Rhinolophus ferrumequinum: one gene and its partner. The protein of the gene in region 2 purifies or fractionates together with the protein of the main gene of each other region. This does not show direct contact. Links are inferred from orthologs where the notes say so. Each region holds a gene or a part of one and is shown on either strand. Other genes may lie near its edges.

What was found.
Region 1: the proteins of NUP107 (region 2) and NUP43 purify together in Homo sapiens (affinity purification with mass spectrometry; 8 studies listed by BioGRID and IntAct, counting the BioPlex papers as one, with this or other methods). This does not show direct contact. The link is inferred for Rhinolophus ferrumequinum from reciprocal best matches to the Homo sapiens genes NUP107 and NUP43.

What each region holds. Positions count from the first base shown.
Region 1 is NC_046286.1:93,109,806-93,120,608, forward strand, and holds the start of NUP43 (nucleoporin Nup43), read right to left. Parts: upstream 5,075-10,803; 5' UTR 5,035-5,074; coding exon 4,915-5,034; intron 4,570-4,914; coding exon 4,447-4,569; intron 3,536-4,446; coding exon 3,458-3,535; intron 2,464-3,457; coding exon 2,283-2,463; intron 476-2,282; coding exon 340-475; intron 1-339. Other genes in the region: PCMT1 (protein-L-isoaspartate(D-aspartate) O-methyltransferase), read left to right, coding at 7,269-7,497. UniProt on the Homo sapiens protein: Component of the Nup107-160 subcomplex of the nuclear pore complex (NPC). The Nup107-160 subcomplex is required for the assembly of a functional NPC.
Region 2 is NC_046293.1:64,884,664-64,895,597, reverse strand, and holds the start of NUP107 (nuclear pore complex protein Nup107), read right to left. Parts: upstream 4,561-10,934; 5' UTR 4,387-4,560; coding exon 4,379-4,386; intron 2,652-4,378; coding exon 2,560-2,651; intron 2,038-2,559; coding exon 1,951-2,037; intron 1,321-1,950; coding exon of another isoform or gene 1,296-1,320; coding exon 1,180-1,295; intron 1-1,179. UniProt on the Homo sapiens protein: Plays a role in the nuclear pore complex (NPC) assembly and/or maintenance. Required for the assembly of peripheral proteins into the NPC. May anchor NUP62 to the NPC. Involved in nephrogenesis.

The sequences.
Region 1 (10,803 bases), on a different chromosome or scaffold from region 2:
GGCACACAGAGAAAGGGGATTTCTGTTCAGAAAAAAAGATCTTGGATTGTATTTTTATCCCCATCACATCTGGAGTGTATATACCCACTATTAATAGAATCATTTGATGAACAACAATAATATAAACTTCAAAGAGTAAAAGTTCTGACTCAAGGGAGCAAATATTTACTAAATGTAGTTTGGTAGTATCAAATCCATTAAATTATAGTTGCTTTATCAAATTTATTCAAGGTTGCATTCTCTTAAAATACAATTAAAATATAGTTAAAGTCAACTGCTATAAATAATCGAACAAATTAATTTTGCATTACACTATGGAAATTAAAAACCAAAACTTACAGTGATAATATCTGAGACGGCTCATTTCCTTGTTGTCTGAAATCCCATATTTTTAACTGCCCAATTGAATTTACTGTAAGAATCTCAGGAGTTCGAAGGAAGGTTACAGCATGGAGTGTACTGCTATCTGCATTGTCTACAAATTAAGAAAATAGCAGTGTTAATGGGTCCCCCTTTTCCATGAAAATCTTAAATCAATTCTTTTTAAAGATTTTATTGGGGAAGGGGAACAGGACTTTATTGGGGAACAGTGTGTATTTCCAGGGCTTTTTCCATGTCTAGTTGTTGTCCTTATAATTATAGTTGTGGAGGGTGCAGCTCAGCTCCAGGTCCAGTTGCCGTTGTTAGTTGCAGGAGGCACAGGCTACCATCCCTTGAGGGAATCGAAACCGGCAACCTTGTGGTTGAGAGGACGTGCTCCAACCATCTGAGCCATCTGGGAGCTCAGCGGCAGCTCAGCTCAAGGTGCCGTGTTCAATCTTAGTTGTAGGGGGCGCTGCCCACCATCCCTTGCAGGAGTTGAGGAGTCAAACTGGCAACCTTGTGGTTGAGAGCCCACTGGCCCATGTGGGAATCGAACCGGCAGCCTTCGGCGTTAGGAGCACAGAGCTCCAACTGCCTAAGCCACCGGACCAACCTCCTTAAATCAATTCTTTTTTAATTGAAATATTATAAGTGAAATTTTAAATATGTCACAGTTTAATTTTTATAAAAAACGTACAGTAATGTGTATGTTAAAATTAAATCTCCTTTGATAGAAAAATGATACCACTCACAAGATACCTGAACTGTTTTCCACAGAGGGCTTAATTTTCACTTATGTATTTCCCCATCTCCACTTAAGATTGTTATTCTGCATTTCTGAGACAGCTGCTTAAGCTCTTCTGTAACCAGTTTAATTCTGACTAGTGCTTAACCCAGAACCTCCATTCTATTGGGCCAAACCCCAGTACTTCCTCCAGAGCTCATTCTGATCCTGTATTATTCTGCTGACTCATATCAAATTGATTCATCTTTATCTTTTGCAACTCTCTCCTCCATTGAAGTCCTTCCCGATTGCTATAATGGTCCTTTTCTTCTTCCAACAGGTTTAAGCTTGTATCACATAATTTAGCATATACTTACAGACTTTTGTTTTGTGACACTTCTCCAAACTGTCACCAGGCAATGGTGTTACACAAGTGGTGTTCCTCAGAACTTACAATCATAATAAACAACACCAAAAATGGATTCATGGACTCAATCCATGCAGGTTGATTCAGGTCTAGGATAGTGGGCTGTGAAAAATCTTCTCAGGGAAGTCTTTGTGAAGCATAGTTGAGAACTACTATACTAGAATAATCCTTCTAAAGCACAACAGGGAGTATATCAACCCCTTACTCAAAAACTCAACGGTTCCTTGGTTGCCCACCTACCGGGTCTTATATTAATTTTTGCTCCAAAAGACGCATTAGAGCTGATTGTCTGGCTAGGTCTTATTTTCAGGGAAACACAGTAACAAAATGTAGCCTCCATAGCTGTGCATTAGATTCTTCACAACCTGGCCCCAATTTACCTGTCTTGCTTCATCTCTCACCTCTCCTATATAAATAAAGTCAGGTCCAACTATATGTTTTGTCATTCTCTAAATGGCCTTCTCTTGTTTCCACATTATCTCTTTTGTCTGGGGTGCCGTATTTTAGTTATTTATGGTCTAGAACCTAGATGAATTGCCACCTGCCCCTCAATTCTTTATCCAATCACCCACTCCAGCCAAATAAAAAGTTTCTCTTTCCTCTGTAGTCACTCAGTCATATATGCCTTATCACCACAGTGTCTTGATAAAGGGATCCTGCTTTGCACATTTCTATATGCCTCAACCACTTAACATTGTATCCACTTAGCACGTGGTAGGTGATTGATTCCTAGGTGATGCTAGAAAAAAATATAATGATTTTTCTTACCTATAGTTCTCACAGCTTCCTTGTGATCAACTCTGAAGAGATTGATTCGACCATCTTCTCCGACGGTGACAATGTCTGGATTGCTGCACACAACCCCCGTACATGGCGCACTGCTGCAGGAAGGACTGCCCAGACCGGTGTGGTGGTGAGCTGCTGTCCACTGCTGGCTGACGGACAGTGTCTAGGTGTCAGAAATGACAATATGATTAATCAAAGCAAAGCTCTAAAAACATAGCACTTTTTCCCAACTAAAGAGTATTTTAAAATTCCGTCTCATACCCTTCTAGCAAAAGGACAACTCTCTCCTTTTTCCTTTTTATTTCCAAGTATTAAAGCCTAGAAACTACTTCCATCAAAGCTCTGTATACACTGGATTAGATTCAAAAGACCATTGTTCAATAATAGGCCAATCTTATCTCAAACTAAAGAAACGGTTTTGAGGTATCAGGTAGTTGTGTGTTCAAAAGCAACTTTAAATTCTTAAGGGAATTAGCCTACATCTAAGAAATAAATCTCTATAATGCTTTCTAAAGGATTCCATTAATACTTAATAAGACCCGGGTCTTATATTTTCTAGACATGCCTATTAGCAACGTGACCTTTATTAATTCCAAAGTCTAAATAAGCACTCTCTTCTAGCAACTTAAAACTATTACAAGTGGGACTACCTATTTTAAAGGAATGCCCTCAACACTATGCTCTGAAGGTCAGTACTCTTAGGCTTCAGCACACAGGAAAGGCACTGAAAAAATGTCAAGTCTTCACACAGAGTATCCTCTCTTCTAATTAAAACCCAGGTTCTATCCACAGAAGCAAAGTAGCTGTTCCTGTTTTCTCTCATGATACCTTAACTAAAAGGTGCTCTTTCTTCAAAGACCAAAATGGGAACTTAAAACAGAATTACAGGAAAATTCCTTGCCAGAATACTAGATTGTTAAGTCTAGACTCTAGACTAACAGAATTTAAGAGATAACCAAATTCAATACAAGCACACACAAACACGGTTCTAAAATTAGTCTACTAAAAGTTGGGTAATATAACGATGTTTTTCCCCTCCATATTTTGAGACTATATAATTTTATTATTTGTGTCATTATTAAAAACAGTCTTTTTAAAGCCTTCCTAAAAATAATGAAAATACAAATTAATTAAGTTTTCAAACAAAATTTCTTTACCTGGTTATTTGGACGGTAAAGGAAAACTGTTACACATCCTGTTGATGAAGCAGCTACCATTCTTTCCTGGTCAAAAAACTAAACAGAAAATTCATGCTTGTTATGGATTGAGAAATACCAGTAAAGTGGAAGCCCATTTGTTTAACTTAATTAGTAGTAATAATAGTTTTAAAATGCAAAGAGCCTATAAATGCTAAGCAAATAAAATGTGATGACAGACCTGAAAGTAAAAATTCCAATACCAATATAAGTATTTTTGTGAAGGAAAAAAAATAACAATTTTTTTCCCTAAACTCATTCCCCTAAAACTGATTTAGTTAATTCTGGACCACTATCATAAAGGTTTAGAAAAGTAAGGTGAGGCAAGTTACTATTGAAGAAAACACAGTGACTCTGAAGTCACACATACCAGGATTTGAAAACTTAATTTCAGTCCCACCACTTACTATTGGCTTTGAGACTTTGGCCAAGTTAAATTGTTTTAAGTCTAGGTAAACCTTTAAAAGGAGAGAACTAATCCCTACTTAGGGAGTTGTGAGAATTCAAAGAGCAAAACACATGTAAAGTAACTCGAACAGTATTTGTCACACAGCACTTGCTCAAAAGATCTTAATCTCAGTTTTCTCATTGATAAAACAGAGATAACAATACTTGATTCACAAGCATGCAATGAGAATTATGTGAAGCTCCCCAAATAGTGCTTGGCATACAGTAGATGGTCAACTAAAAAAAAAAAAAACAAAAAAAACACAAAAAACAAACAAACAAAAAAACCCTAGGATTCAAAAACTAGGGTTAAACCCACATCGCCTTCCCCACTCCTGATTCTAACATTAAGTGGCTATATGATGTTCAAAAATCATAACCTATAGAGAACTCAGTTTCCTGTAGACCCAGGAAAATGTAAGGTCCTTTACATCTCTAAATGTATGAGTGTTTTTTAAAAGTTAGCTTTTGGATATTATACATCCAAAAAAGATGTTACTTACTTGTAAATCCATAACATCACCATGGTGTCTGGTACCGCACAGTAACTGATGGTCTCCTTCAAACCCTCCATCAGAGTCCAAGTTCCCAAAATCTCCAATAGACCACAGTGAAACATAATTTTCCTGTAAAGCAGCAAGTTTTACCTTGAGATGAAATATTACGTTAAACTTTCGGAAATTAACATTTGTATTGCCTACAGGCAACCTTGCTTTGAAAGCATCTCAGAATAGTGGTGACAGTGTGGTGATAGTTTAAAACACGAGATTCGAGGCTAAGGCACATACCATCGATGGCTGGGGTACAGGTCAACCGAGCCCGCGACAGGGACTCGGGGGATGGAGAAAAGTGAGAGGATGTAGAAGGCAAGAGAATTCGCGCGCAGGCGGCCGGGGGGTCGCAGGGGCTTCCCGGGCGGGGAACAAAGAGGGGGAGGAGACAGGGGCTTCCTGGCCCGGGAACGGAGATACCTCATTGTCCCAAGAGCCCGTAGCGAAGATCTCCGCGGTCTGCAGACTTCCCGGAGGTACCGGTCGCCAGCGGGTTTTGCTGATTTTCTGAGACACGTACTTAGCATAAAACTCCTCCATGCCGAAATTAACCGCGGCGGAGACAGCAAAAAGCACAGCGCGCGCCTCTTAGTCCCGCCCCCTCCCGCGGAGCTCTGATTGGACTGGACCTTACGGGACGGACGGTGGCTGCGGAGAGCCAATTCTCTGCGGTCGGCAATGAGGGGACCACCAGCTCCCAAGCAGAAGGAAGCTTTGACGCTCTTCCTTACCCACGCGTTTTTTAACAGAGGCAACAAGTGTGCTGGTCCTGGTACTGTGGGACCTGCTCCTAATCTTCAAAATCAGTTTAGGAACACTGACACAATGCATTCATCCAATAACTGTGCAATGTTAAAACAAATTTAAGAGAAACCACCAAGTAGCCGCACCTAAACATTCAGCTTTGCATTTCACTGTGCATAGATTATTCAAATCCTTAAATTCTCATGGAAGTGCACGCCATTAACACACCAACTTATTATTCTAAACCTCTCCCTCTGTCTCCCAAACAAATTCTTTGCTTCAAAGTTCTTAACGCACACTTGCAAAGCCTGGAGTTGGAATGCTGAAGACTCCAGTTCTAGTTTTCATGACCATTGCCCAACCTTCTTCAATTGACTTATATATGTATTAACAATTAAGTTTGATATGTAACATCGACAGCCCAGGAATCAGTGCTGTAGGTTCTTCCAGTGCTCTTGGTTACACCTGTAATAATACCCGTATAGTCTTCTTTACTTCTTGGGATCCTACCCATCTTTCAAGGACCAGTTCCTTCCTGTTATCTTTTCCTGATTATTCCAGCCCGTGATCTTAAATAAACATAGCACTTTAGACCCCTAATTTTGGCCACTAATAGCACTTAAGTTTTGTCCTCTGTTGCTAGTTTTATTTTGATGCTGATCTCCCCAATTAGAATGTAAATCCTATTGCATACATAAGAGGTGTGACTTATTCATCTTTCTAAAAATCTCCTTTATACTGTATTCATAATGATGTGTTGGTTGTCAGCTTTAGAGAGTTATCAGGTCTTATTGAGGATTGAGGCTTTTTTTAAATGGACTACAATAGGAAACTGCAGAGAGATGAAATGGAAAACTTAATCCCACACTGACAGTTTTATTCCTACTATTGAAGTAAAGAACACGGTTTTGAGTGTGGTTTCATTTATGGTCACAGAATTCCAGAAAATACGTAACATATTTTTTGTATTGGAAGTAGGCTGAGTATCACATTTGACATCTGGAAAGAACTAGAATTTGAAAATTGCTGCTGGCGCATAATGTTTTGACATAACTTTTTCTTCCTTAAAATTTTATTGGACTGGATGATTGGATTCTGTCAGTATCAGTTCTGATTAGGAGTCAGCAAGTTGAATGCGACAAGCAATGCTCCCTTTCAGCTGCTCAGTCTTGCAGAGATGACAGCAATAGTACTGATGTCCAGTTTAACGGTACCATTTGCGAGGTTTAATTTGCTGAAAGCTCACACTTGTGTTAGAGTAATACATTGGATATAGATAGAATACTGTGGTATTTTTAACCAATTGCATTGTTCTGGTGAGTAAAGCATTCCTCGCCCCCACATGTCATGTTATTCTTCTACTCTCTGAATTTGTACTTTAGAATTGAGAACAAACCAGGGGCTGCGAAGTCTCTCTAACCGAACACCGATGTAGTTGTCATAAAGCCAGAGGCTGCCGAACTCGGGTTAGAGAGGGCCTTTGCTCTCTGGTGCTATTAATATTATTCAGGCTGCACCAGAAAGCTCTGACTCTAACCGACCTAAATATTAGTCAACAGGGTTGGGTGAGGCAGGACGGAGGAAGCCCACCGTCTAATAATCTGGGCAGCTATAGGAGCAGACCCGCCGCTCGCAACAGCTGACCCAACGGAGACTGCGGAGCTACCGGCAGCGGCGGAACCAGATCGTCCAGACGCGACGTCACAGAAAGGCACCGCTATCCTGCAACCGCGCTCGGCGACCAGAGCCTCAGCCGGGCACGCGACCCACCGCAGCCGGGCCCACGCCGCCTGGCCGCAGGGCGAACCGAACAAGGAGGCGGTTTGCAGCCCGAGGCCTCATAAGGGGGCACGGAGCGGCGGGGGCGGCGGCGGCGGCGGCGCTAACTCTGCCTGGCCTCTCCGCCGGTCTCCGGCAGCCGCAGCAGCCACCAACGGGGGCGGCTGGACTCGGGGCCACCCCCGCCTCCGGCCCCACCCAGCCGCACCCGAGGCCGCCAGGCGTCACAGAGCGCATGCGTGCCGCGGGGGATGCCGGGAGCGCGCAGTGGCGGCAGCGGCGGCGACGGCAGTCACAGCGGCGGCAACAGCGGGGACGCCAGCGGGCCGGTGACCGTGTGGGAGGTGGTCTCACTCTTGGGGAAGCTGCTGGGCACCGTCGCCGCGCTGAAGGTGGTTCTGTACCTGCTCCGGGTGTGCTTAGCGATGGCCTGGAAATCCGGCGGCGCCAGCCACTCGGAGCTAATCCACAATCTCTGCAGTAAGTGCCACCCCCGCTGGGTGTGGGGCAACTGGGGCAGGCCAGGCCTGGACAGAGTCCCCCGGGCTGTCCGGAGCGTTCTCTCGCCCCTCCTCCCCCGTGTCTGCTGGAGGGCTTCGGCCCAGGGTTGCACCAGCAGTCCCGAACGGCATGCGCTTGCGATCGCGTCCCCCGGGACCTGTCACTCATTGGCTACGTGGACTGGAAGGGGAGAGAAAGAGCCCGCGGCCGCTGCTGGTGGGGCAGGGGCAGGCGTCTCCCCAGAGACCTGGGAGGAGAGGGCGCGGCACAGGTGGTGGGGCTGTCACTCGAGTCCTTCTCCTGGACGTCCGGGTCCGGCGGGCGAGGGGCGTGCACTCGGGGTGGGGAGATGTTGGCTAGGCCTCCTAGAGTCTGGTCTGGAACTGAGGGGTCCACCCTGGCCCCCCGCGTCTTCTCACCTCCGTCGTCTTCGTGATCGACCTCGCTGCGAGCGCTCTCTCCTATTCTGCCTCCCCCGCCCTCCGTTTTTTCCTCTGGAGGGAGATGCCACCGTCTGATACAGGCGAGGGGAGGGAGAGGAAGATGAGAGTATTGTCGTTGCGGATGCTGGGAGAAATTTCTGGGGCGGCTGTCCAGTGGAAAGCTTCGTGGGGGGCGGAGGAAGAAATAATCGGGATGCTGTTCCTGAGAGACTTGTGTTTAAGGAGCCTTTAGAGGTCCTGGAATCCAACGAACGAGTATGTGTGTGTGTGTGTGTGTGTGTGTGTGTGTGTGTGTGTGTGTGTGTCTAATCTAACTTTTTTCAGGACTGCCATATGCGTTAAAAGCCTTGCGTGGAAGTTTCTTTATATCCTTCTCTTGAGTTATTGTATTCCTTCCTCTGATGATAATTTTAGGGCGGGATGAGTGCTGTGTCACTTTCTTTTTTTAAATCGAAGTGTAGTGTCGCGGTGTGGTGGGGAAACCAGGATTGCAGCCCATAATACTCTGGTCAGAATTTATAGCACTCTCTTTGCCACTAACTGCAAATAAGCATACCTTGCCACGTGATATTTTTAATTGTCATAGGTTATTTAGCTTTTCATGTGTCTGTCATATTTCCTAATCCAATTGGTAACCTCTGGGACTTTTAAAAATTACCTGTGAATCCTCTCAAAGAAATTAATACTCATTCCTTTTTTTTTCCGTAAATGCCAATTAAATGTACGTTATATGCTTGGATCTGTGCTAGGAATATTCCGATGAGTTAGAGAAATAGCACTATCTGGCGCATGGTTAGTACTTAATATTAGTCATTTGACGTTTTTTAAAACAGTATTTGATACTTGGAAATCATGGCCTTAGTGTTTAGTAATGAAGAATATTTAGATTTTAAAATTCTGTCAAGCATTGCCAGTATTCACTTTATTGAAGGATATTTGATTGGAAATGGGCATTTATATGCTGAGACAGCATTATTAGGTGCCATTTAGGTTCCCCATGGATTGCACATAAGCTCAATACGTTGTAAGTACTTTTATAAAATTTCTTACAATGATCTAGTGTCTGCTGTTGCAGTATATACACCTGAAACATTCTACACTCGAATTGTGATTAGGTAATTTTCCACCGGTAGGTTATCTTAGTAGACACTTGGCTGTGGCAGAAGCTTGTAATCAATCAGGCTCTTAAAGTCTCTCCTTTTGGGGCCAAATTTATAGTAAGCCAAGACTAGATCTTTTCCCACTTTAACGTATTGCATTACTATTCTTAGCTGAAACTCCTAAGGATGTTGTTCTATCAGCGAATCTGATAAGAAATATTTAATGTGCATGTTGATATTGTAGATATTTAGTTTTATAGTAGATCTATGGTAAGAGGAAATTAGAGTACTCATATTGTTTAGCGTCTTTTGTAACCCTTTTGTAACTTTAGTTTCAACTTCTTGTTAAATTCATTCCAGCTAATAGGTGTCATTTTTATTTATTAGTTTATTATAAAAGTAATATTTGCTCATGTAAACATTTCAATTGGCACAAAATTTGAAAATTGCTCTTTTTCCTGGTGGTTCCACTGGAAGCTTTCCTGAAGGCTTCTAATTGAGTCTTTAGAAAAAGATTAAAATGTGATGATGTTGATGTTGAAGAAAAAAGGATCTGCAAACCTGAAGAGGAAGCAAATTATGGTTTTAATTTTTTTTTAAAGAAATGAAGTTCATAATTGGTTTCATTTTAATATTGTAATTGTTGAAAATATCTACTGTAGATTTCTTTTATAAATCACAATAGAAGCATGATTATGTATGATTTCGTAGTTGATATACCGTTTATAGATTATTTTAGACTATAATGGTACATCTCCTAATATCTCATAGCTTATGTTGTGATGACAACTGCTCTTTAATAACTTAAAACAGTGGTCTAAAAGTGGAGCATATTTGATCACCTGGAGAGCTGGTTGAAACTGATTAAGACAGATTGCTGAGGCTCCCAAGAATTTGTACAGTAGACCCTTGAACAACACGGGTTTGAACATCATGGGTCAATTTATAAATGGATTTTTTTCAATAAATATACAGGCAGCCCTTTGTATCCCTGATTGGTCTTCAGCAGATTCAACCAACCCGTGGTTGAAAACAGTATTTTTAATCAGCGGTTGGGAATCCGCGGATGCGGCATGCTGACTGAATGCATTGTTCTTTGCCATTTTATATATGGGACTTAAGCAGAGGATCCATGGATTTTGGTATCTGAATGGGTTTCTGGAATTAATCCCCCGTGGATACCAAGGGACAACTGTAGTTAAATATTTGGAGTCATTAGCTATACCTGGGTTTTCGACTGTGTGGGAGTGTTGTTAGTGCCCCTAACCCCCATGTTGTTGATGGGTCAACTGTATTTCTAGTAAGTTCCTAAATAATGCTGCTGCTGGTCCAGGGACCACATTTTGAGAATCACTAGCATAGAGAATTGAAAATTTTAAGGTTAAACTCTGCCAGTGTTTCAGCTGAATCAGTTTTATGCTTTTAAATAAAATTTTGGGGAAAAATCTATAGCAGTCTTGCCCAATAGAGTTCTCTGTAATGTCTGTATCTGTGATGTCTCAATATGGTAGCCACTAACTGCAGGTGGCATTGAGCATTTGAAATGTGATTAGTACAATTGAGGAACTGGGTTTTTGTGCTATTTAAACTAACAAATATCTACATATAACTAATGTTACCATATTGGACAGTGCAGGTCTTCAGAAATGAAAAATACAGTTATTCTGTAATTACAGGCTGATAATGTGCTCATGAAACAGATTAATTTAAAACAACTGTGAACCTGCTTAATCTAGGGAACG
Region 2 (10,934 bases):
AGGTCAGCCATGTATGTTGGTAACTGTTGAAACTGTGTAATGAGCACATGGGGGCTTATTCTGTTCTTCTATTTTTAATAAAAAGCTTTTTAAAATTCACCTTTAAAATTCAGGTATGAGTAACAACAAAAATGTACCTTTAAATCAGTCTCTCCAAGAAAAAAATGCTAAACATGGGTGCTAGTACCCTATATATTCATGAGGAAGTAACTGTGGGCTGGGGAGAACTTAGCTTCAGCTCTTAGATTGATTAATAGTTCACTCCCTTCTGGGTATTTATCATTATCATTAATATAAGAATAAAACTGAAAAATCTTACACAGCAATGGCATTTTGCATTCAGAAAAATACTTTGCTCCACAATCAAATCTTAGTAGATGGACATATGGCAAAATTAATGTCACAGGTAATTTTATTCCTTCAGGGAAACCTAAATATCCAAGACCACCACTTACAACTAATATTAAAATTAGCAAAACAAATCAAAAATATACCTTGGACTACAAAGTAATTTCCAAATGTTTTATAATAATTAATACATACTATTTCATCCTTTAAGAGAGTAACAACTTTACTATTAATCTTGCAATTCTGAAGCAGTAAACAATAAAAATCATCTCTTGCTTAAACCCAGGGGCAGTCAATTCACTCATATTTTTAAGTACAAGATAAACCTTGCCAAAACAAACCAGTTTCATAAGTAGAGTAAAATTGTTCAATGACTAGATCATTATTAGATATTAACACTCTAAAAATCCACAATATAATAATATATTAAAGATTGAGTTAACCTTCTAAGATAAAGAGAGGCTTAACATGCAAAACCACTCTTCAGAAAACATCTAATTTAGACAATTTCAAGTGCATGTAAAACTTCTATGCCTTTTTAATAAGCACAAAGCCAAATACCGAAAAATCATTTTTATATTGTTTTTGGAACTAAATGTGCCATAATACTCTACTATTCCAATAAAACTCTTCTTTTTTCTTCTTTTCAGTGAGATCCAATTCTTTTTTTTTCTATAGAGTATTTAAACACCTAAGTCAAATCATTCTACATCACAGTTTATGTGACATTTCTTCTGCTATTTTAAATACCGTACCACAGTGATTCTTAAAGAGTGTCATAGGACACTTTCACAAAAAGGGAGAAAATTTCAGCCCCATTTTTCTACATACCATAGACAGATTTCCCAAGAACAGTGAAGACTGTGTAAACCGGGGAGACCTCACTCCTGTTCCAAGAATGCTGGAAATATCTGGCTGCCTGAGTAAGCTTCGGTTTGGTGGAGTAACTACAAATAAAAGGTTAGTAAAAAACTCATCCAGAGTGCATGAGCATTGATCATGAAAACAGAACAAACAAACAATATGAAGAACAAATAATTTTCAGTTGTCAATTATTTAGATTCTAATCAAATAAACATGTTAAATATTAACATTTCCATGATATGAAAATTTAACTTATTTTGGTACTACTGAGCCCATCAGGAAAAATTTTACTACAAATAGATATGCTTTCATTATAACATAACTGAGCAGTAAAAAAGGACACTAATGAGTCAATAGATTCTTCGTATTTTAATTTTATAAAATAGCACACTGAAGAGGCAGTATAGAATAGAGGGCACGAGTTTTGAAGTAAGCAGATCATTATTTAAATTTTGGTTCTATTACTTACATACTTAGTTATGTTATCAGCATTAATTAACTTCTTAGTTTCACTTTCAGTTTTGGCAAAATAGAGATAATACCTATGTCCCAGTTATTGTGTATGTAAATTAGTGCCTTACACATGGTAAGAGTTCAACAAATAGTAAATGCAATCATTATTATTTATTCTTAATTACTAATGTTTCAACCAAATATATTTATTATGTGTATAAGTGTTAGCTGCTATTATTACTATTATTATTATTATTATTACTACATGCTTTAAAAAAATCTTACAAGGCGGTCGAAATGAGCTGGGAGTTCGAGGGAGAACCTGGTTTCTTGGTGTAGTATTAGCAAAAATTTCATCTTGGGATGCCCGAACTATTGGAAGTTAAGAAAAGTTTTCCATGTAGAAAAGACATCCAAAAAAAAAAAAAAAAAAGACACCATTAAAGTTAGAATTACCCACATTTACACTATACAAAATATGTGATACATTTTTAAAGGACAAGGTATTTTATGGCTACCATTTTTTCCTATGCAAAGAGTAAATAATTACATCACTTACTTTCTCAGATATGTCTTAAGATTACTACACATTACACTAAGAGTTCCTAGTCAGATTTCAAATTTAAAAAGGCTATCTAACCTCCACAAAAGCTAACTACAATATAATAGCAGTAAAATCGAGCACCCTTATTTTCAGGAAAATATAAATCTAATCTCACTGAATTTCAGCATTGTATTTACCAAATAACATTATCTGGGGAGTCAAAAAAATAATTTCTGCAGCATTTTATTATTATAGCTAGTGTTTAATGTCTCTCATAAAAAGAAAATTCTATAATCCTGATCCCAAACACTCTGCAATTTTTATAATGATGCTTAAAATGCAAAGGATACTTAAAACTCTTTTTTGAGCACTCTGTTTCCGTGCAGTCCGTGTCACCTCTGCCTCCCGGATCACAGGGGATAACATCTCTCCAAAGCCACTCCTAAAAGCATAATCAAGCCCACGTGAATGAAACGAGAATGTAGCACTTGCAAAGAACTCCATCATCAGGACTGGAGCAAAGGACCCAAGTCAGTCAAGGTACAGATCATTCCAGTAGCCATGTCTTTGCTTTTTTTGTTGACAGTGCCCTCTGGCTCCAAATCCTACTTATCCCTCAAAGTCCTGCTTAAATTTTACCTGCACAGACTTCTTTAAGACTTTCTAGCACTCACTGTTATTTTCTCCTTTGCAATTATTTCAACACTTGGAATCTATATTACTGTTTTAGATAATTGCTTCATGAAGGTAAATTTTTCCTCAGTTGGATTGAGGAGTTCCCTAAAATTACTGGATTATATCTCTTAAAAAGGATTTTCTGTGGTTTCCAAAATACTTCAAACCATGGAAACTATGAAGAAATTTATTGCTTTATTTAACTGGTGAGATGGGAGGCTAAGTAAAAAAAGAATTCTAGTAAACTGGAGAAAATAATATTTCAAGTTATTTCTCTCTAGGATACACTAAGGATGTCTCCTGTCTCAGCACTTTGTAGTCACAATGCTTCAGATCTCCTGTCATTCTCAGCCCAAGGGCTATAAAATAAATTGTGTGAATTAAGAGACCTGTATTTTAAAAGAAAAATCTAATATGCTTCTCCACTTAAAACCTTCAGATAGGTAGCTACCTCTGGCCTACAGAATCAAGTCCAAATTTCCTACCATGGTTTGTACAATCTGACCTCAGCTTACCGGTTCACGCTTATATTCAGCTACAAACATCACCATACCATACAAACATACATTTGACCATTCAGCTACACAAAGCATGCACTTGGCATATCCTTACATCTCTGTACACGTTGCTTCTTTTAGAGGCGGACATTTGCCCCCTTGGTCCACCTGGTGAACACTTACTCACTGAAAAGCTTCCCTACAGGCTGGCAACTTGGTTCTATTTATTATTAATAGTTTCCCAACTTTGACCAAGCTTCTTAACCTCTTTTAACCCCAGTGTTATCTATGAAAAGAGTACCTATCCTCACAGGATTGTTACGAAGATTAGCTAACGATACAAAGTGCTTAAGGTACTCAATGTTAGCTATTATTATTCAAAGACCAACTAGAAAATTACCTCCTTTGAGAGGTTTTCCTGATACCTCCCGTAACAGGGAGACTTAATTGTTTCATTTCCTTTCCCACAGGGCAGTAGAAAACTGCCTGATCGTCTCCTCCACTACACAGCGACTACCCCGAGGCCAAGAACCTTGAATAAGGCATCTGTGTCGCAGGCGGCCAGCGCAGTACCAGGGTCCTAGGAAGAACTCAACTCAGTAACTATCTGATCGCTGGAACTTGTAATCAGCAAGTCTGGGATGAGATTCCCAGTTGCCTCACTGACTGGCTTTGGGATCTCGAGCAGGTCACTCTAGCATCTCGAATGCCGGGCCACCTCCTACCCCGCCCACCCCAGAAGCGAAAAATGTTCCGCGAAATGGCAGAACAATGACAGAGCTCCGTAGGAACGCAAGGGATTATCATTATCCGTATCCCTCTCCCAACCTGGCGGCCTTTCTTCCATCAGCTGCAGAATCTCCCAGCCCGGGAAAGTCCTCGAGTCAGCACCCGGGCCTTCCCTGGCTTCCTCTGGAAGTCGAGTTCCACTTGTTTCGTTCCGCCAACAAGCAGGAGGGACAAGTTTCCAAGCTCAGCAGTCACCACCTGAACTGACCTGTTCATGGCTACAGCCTTCTCCACCGGGAACCTTGTAAATTGGGATCCAGTTTAGCCACCGCGTTTCAGCCTTCCCGCTCTCCGGAAGCAAACCCTTCGACCCGGAAACAGTCCTCGTTCAGTTGCCGTGGAGAAAAGAAGTGTCGTCGGGGAAGAAACAACTTTCCCAAGGAGCGCCGGCGCAACTTCCTCCAAGCGCATGTCCGGTCTGCGCAGGCGCGACGGCGTGCCAGCTTGTGGCGTAGGGCGGGGCGGGGCCGGGGGCGGGACCGGGCAGGGGGCGGGGCCGGGCCGGGTTTAGCCTTGATGCGCGGCCGCCACTTTGCCTGACTGGCATTTGTGGGCGTGGTCCAGGCGCCGGGTTATCCTGGGACTATTTACTGGGAAATTTGACGTATACTGATAGTTTAGAAAAAAATGTGAAGTCATGTCCTGTGACAAAGAGCCTGGATTTGGGTTTCAGACGTTTAGACTCTGCCCTACACCTCGGGGGTTCGTCCCTCTCTCTCACAGTACTCACTGAATTGTACTGTAAACCCCCTACAGGTTTTGAAATTGTTTTCCATATGCCTATTCTTTACTCGGTATGTTTCCCTAGTAAGGAAAACAGGATCACCTGTCTTAAAAAGCAGGAAAGGTGATGGTATTATCCTCTATTTCAAAGTGCCATATAGACAAAAAGTAGTACATCCTGGCCCTGAAGGAATTAGTCGATGTTTTGCCGTAGGCATTTACAGTCTGCTCTAATCCTGGGAAACGTCATACTTTATTCCTGCTGAGACAACATGACGTTTTTTAAAAACACGTGGCTTTGGTCTCCATTAGGTTCGAACTCCCTGCCACCGCAGATTCCTCATCTGTGGAATGGAAATAACGCCTTTATCACCGAGTTCTTTTGAGGAGTAAAATCAAGATGTCAAATGTACACTGCACATAGTAGTCACCGAAGTGTTAATTTTCTCCTCGTTCAATAATCTTACTTGACGAGACCCGCAGTGGTGCTCTCTCATTCTTCCCATCTCCTAATTTTCTTGTATAAAAGTGGACTTGTTCTTTTATGGAAAATGAAATGTGATCCTAATGATTTTTGTCAGTGCCAGGGCAAGTTTATTCTAAGTGAGCCAGTGGTTCAGGTTCTTGCCATATGTTTCCTGGCAATTGAATTCCAATGTGTTGTGTTTTTTTTTTTTTTTCATGTAATGGACTTGAAGTGATTGACCATAAGGCACACAATAAAGCGGAAGAGCAGTTTTGGGCAAAGGATTAACAGAATGTTCAGTTCATATGCCATAAGGGAACACTTGTTGAAAAGTGCACTGGTCTTCATTTTTGACACACTCAATTAGTGGGCATGAACACCATACAACCCTAAAATATTTCAAAATATATTCATTCATTTGATTTCTTTTAAAATGCGTGGCACAAACTTGTATGGTGCATATTGCATACATTCTAGCTTTATTTTTAGGGTTCTCGGTTTCAATGAGAGAAACTCACTATAGTTAACTTAAGCAAAAGGGATTTTACTAGAAACCTATCAGGAGCTCACAGAAGCTGGAGGAAAGCTTGGCAAAGAACAGCTGCTCAGGAACTAAAGGCCAGGAAGCAGCCATCCCCAAATACTCAAACCACTGTTTCCTCTCCCTCACCACCAACAGCTGAGGAAATCAAACATCATTGCTTTCCCCGCCTCCCTGACCCTTTATTTTGAAAAAATGTCAAACCCACAGAAAAGCTGTAAAAATAGTAAAATAGGTATTAATATACTCTTGACTAATTGCTAACATCTCCCAATAAGTGTTTTCTCTCTCTCTTTTGTTTTTTGCCTGAACCATTTGGAAGACATCTAGACACGTCACCCCTAAGTACTTCAGAATGCATCTCCTAAATCAAGGACAAGACATTCTCCTACCTAACACAATAAAATAAACACTCAGAACTGTTCACATTGACAAAATATCACAATTAACATATTCAAATTTCCCCAATTCTCTTAATAATGCTCTTTATAACAGCTCTGCTCCAATACAGGATCCAGTAGAGCATTATATATTTAGTTGTCATGTCTTTTTGTTCTACTTTAGTTTAGCATAGTCCCCACTTTTTTTTTCCCCAAGAGTTCAAACCAATTTTTGCAAAATATTCCTCAATTTGGATGTTTTCTCCCAGTAAGCATTTTAAAAAACTATTTGGAGGGACAGGTGCAGGAATACAGAGGGTGCCGAAACAATGTACAGTATATACATTTTAAGAAAACACTGGATTAAAATTATAATACTCAATATATACTGATATCAAAAGCTGAATACAAGTCACATGTATACATTTTTTGGCTCCCCCGTACTACATAGGTATTGTTGAGTACTTACTTAATCACATCAGATGGCATATGGGGTCAGTTTGTCTCAGTTTCAAAATCTGCCTGACCTCTCTCCTCTCTGAAAAGAAAGCATCCTTTCACCTGGCACTCCTTTCTAACTGTTGCCTTTTCTCTGTTCCCTTCCCAGCCAAACTTGTTTTGGTTGCATTGTAAATGTAAATGACTCAGCCTTCGGGAGATTTGCCTATCTGGCAATGGCTCTACCTCAAATTCTATATTCTACCCATTTTCAACTATAATTCCCAACATTCTGTGGCCATTTGGCATATATTCTCCACTCCTACAGACTGGAAGAAAAAAGGGATAAACCAATGCCCACCTCATTGCCTGCTATGCAGTCATTACAAGGATGTTTAGAGAGAGTTTTAGTAACTTGGAAGTGTTTGCTTTAAATGAAGGGAGCAAGTTGTCATATATATCAGTATGCTCAGAAACAATATAAAATGCGTAAGACATACTGAAGCAGGGGGTGGAGTGAGGATGATGAAGGGATGAATAGGCAGATAGGGCAGTAAAAATACTCCGTATGATGCTATAACGGTGAACACATGCCATATATGTTCATACCCATAGAATGTGCAACACCAAGAGCGAAGCGTTTTGTAAACCATGGACTTTGAGTGATTATGGTATGTAAATGTAAGTCATCTCTTATAACGAATGTCCCACTCTGGTGGGAGATGTTGATAATGGCAGAGGCTGTGTATGTGTGCGGAGAGGGGGTATATGGGACATCTCTAAACCTTCTCAATTTTACTGTGAACCTAAAAGTGCTCTAAAAAAAAAAAAAACACAAGTCTTTTTAAAAATATATTTGTACAAAGATCATACCAAATGTTGATAGTGGTTGTCTTTGGTGAGACTGGATGATTTTGTTTTTATTGTCCAGTTCACTGTGAGGTGTTTTATTTAAGACAATTTATTTTCATAGCATGGCCCAATTGAAATTCAAACAAATGTCTTAAGGAATTCATTAAGAATTCCAATGAGTCAGATATGAGTCTAGTGAATTAAATTATGGAAGGTGCTTAAACAGTTTTTGTCATGTCCAAAAGACAATTAGAAGGATTCTAATACAGTTGTAGGATACACCGCAGTTATATAAAACAAAAGGAAGTACTTAGAGTTTAACAGCTTGTTCAGCTATGAGATGGTGTTTTTTGTTGTTGTTTTTGTTGTTGTTTTTTGTTGTTGTTGCAGTTTTGTTTTTTGAGCTCAAAACATTGCAAACAAGCTATTGTAATTTAATATTATTTTTATCTAAAGAAGTAGAATTACAGAAAGATTAGTAATTTACTTCAGGTCATAGATTTGAACTAAATTGAACCACAAGCCAAAAGTATAGTAAATAACAATGAATCATGAATTGAACAGAAATATCAGTTTTTGGCTGAACCATGAATGAACCACAATACGCAGGTTTTAAAACATGGCTTGGCTCAGGAAACAATATTGCCTGGAGGTTAAGAGCACAGTCTTGGAAATCAGGCTTGCCAGGTTTGAATCTCAGTTCTGCAGTTTATAAGCTATTTGACTGTTATAAACCTCACCTCTGTAAATGAGAATATTCTCTTAGGATAGCTATGAGGACGAAATATAAAAATAACAATAGAGCAAAGTGGTCAATAGCTCAGACTCCAGAGCTTGATTGCCGGAGGTCACATCCTAGTTCCACCACTTAACGAACTACGTACGTGACCTTGGGTGCAAGTGTGTGCCTTAGTTTCTTCTTGGGTGTAACAATAGTACTAGATCATAAGGTTGTTATGAGGATTTAATGAGTTACTATGTGTAAAGCCTTAGAATAGTACTAGGCATATTATACATGTGTTCAAAAATGATCTAATTTGTATTTATAATAATTATCAATTCATTTGACAACATCAAACTTGTGACATAGTGATAGAGGCATTAGTAACAGATCGAATTGATCCAATTTCAATCCTTTTTTTCTGTGATGCTGCAATAATAGCACAAGCATTTTTTCCTGCCTATATGAAGAGCTCGAAATAATTAATACTTTATATTGATGAATATAAATATGATTGCAAAGTCTCCTTTTGTTTTCCATTTAAAGAGGTTCAGTGGAAATAATCTTGAAGTATATTTTACTCCTCCATTCACAAATATTTATTAAGTTTCAACTATGTATGAGGCACTGTGCATGGAAGTGGGAGCTATATATTGGGGGGAAAGGAAATTAATTCACTTATAAAAAAATCATGTAGGGGCGGCCAGATGGAGCAGTTGGTTAGAGTGCGAGCTCTTAACAATAAGGTTGCCGGTTCGATTCCCGCATGGGTTGGTGGGCTGCGCCCCCTGCAACTAAAGATTGAAAACAGCAACTGGACTTGGAGCTGAGCTGCGCCCTCCACAACTAGATTGAAGATTAAATGACAACGACTTGACTTGGAGCTGTTGGGCCCTGGAAAAACACACTGTTCCCCAACATTCCCCAATTAAAAAAAAAAAATCATGTAAACTTACCTATTCAAACATACTTAATTGTTCATAACATGGAATACATAAATACGTTAAATCACTATTGTAGTTACCAAATAAAATTTGGCCTTTAAGATATTCTTACTTAAAATCTATTGTGAGGTAGAACTGTTACATCTTGTGAATTGATATCAGTCTTTGGTTGCCAATGTATTATTCTTTTTCCCCCCTTTATGTCAACCAGCTCTTTTATTTATTTATTTTTAAAAATTGCAGTCATATATACACAACAAAATTTACCATTTTAACCATTTTTAAGTATGCAGTTCAGTGGCATTAAAAACATTTACATTGTTGTACAAGGCAATATTTTAGTCATATGACTATATATATTTCAGTCATTTGTGTTTTATATGTATAATTATATATATTTTATAAAACCATGTATATATGTTTTAATCATAAATATGACATATATATATTCCAAAATAAGCCATAAATGATTTTTTTTATTCAATTTGGCTTCCTGCTCAGGATGTATCAGATCTCAATCAGAATAAAATTCTGACAAACATTTTATGCATAAGTAGCAGTGATCTTGCCAAGTAATTAAACATCAGTGATGTGAAGCAAAACAGAGCTTTGAATGTATATTAGGGGGAGTCTGCAAGATATGAGTTTGATCTAGACAGATTAGGCAGCAAAAAAGATAGAAAAATAATGTTAAATTTCAAGAACTTCATGAACCAGGGGAGGAAAAAAAATTAGTGTAAACTGTATGTGCCCTGGAAGATTGGATGTGTTATACAGACTTCAGATACAAGAAAAAAGATAATGGAGGGACTGAATGGGAAGCTGATGTGCTTCAAGGGAAGAACGTGGTTGTGGTGATAATAGTGGGAAGCCATTGATTGAGCACATTGTCTTTTCAGATGTTGATGTAAGAAATATCCAAACGTGTAGAGGACTTTTGTTAAGAGTTTATTTGAGCCAAACTGACAACAAATGCCAGGGAGCAAGATCTCAAATGGTCCAGAGAAGTTTTTCAGCTTCTTTTATGCATTTGAAACTAAGGACGGAATTTAAGGAGGATTACGTGGAGATAGAAGAAAACAAGGTAGGGATTGGATTACAGGATAATGAAGATTATGCACTCTCTTGAGGGTGGTTACCACTTGTTTCAAAGGTGTGCTAACCTAGGGGGCGGCCGGTTAGCTTAGTTGGTTCCAGCCTGGTGCTCTTAACGACAAGGTCGCTGGTTCGATCCCCACATGGGCCACTGTGAGCTGCACCCTCCACAACTACATTGAAACAACTACTTGACTTGGAGCTGATGGGTCCTGGAAAAACACACTTAAAATAAATGAAAGTTAAATAAAAAAAAAAAAGTGTTGTGTTAACCTAGGTGCACAGAAACAATGGACAGGGCTTGCTTAAGGCAACCTTTTCCTAAAAGGTTTATCTACCATGACCTACCCAGTTAGGAGTTTATGATCAGATCACCTGTGAGGTCACTATCCATAAAAACCCTTTTTTTCTGTCCACACAGTTACGATATATTTTTGTGGGGCTGGGGAAGGGAGGGAAGTGGGGTGGTGCTGGTTAGTAGCTGGTTTGAAAAAAAAAATGCTTTATTCCAAGGTCAAATGGGGTCAAAGTTTAAATGTGGAGCCCGTTTGACCCTTATTTATCTTCCCAGTAAAGCAGTGTAGCGTAGTTTAGTGGGTAGAAT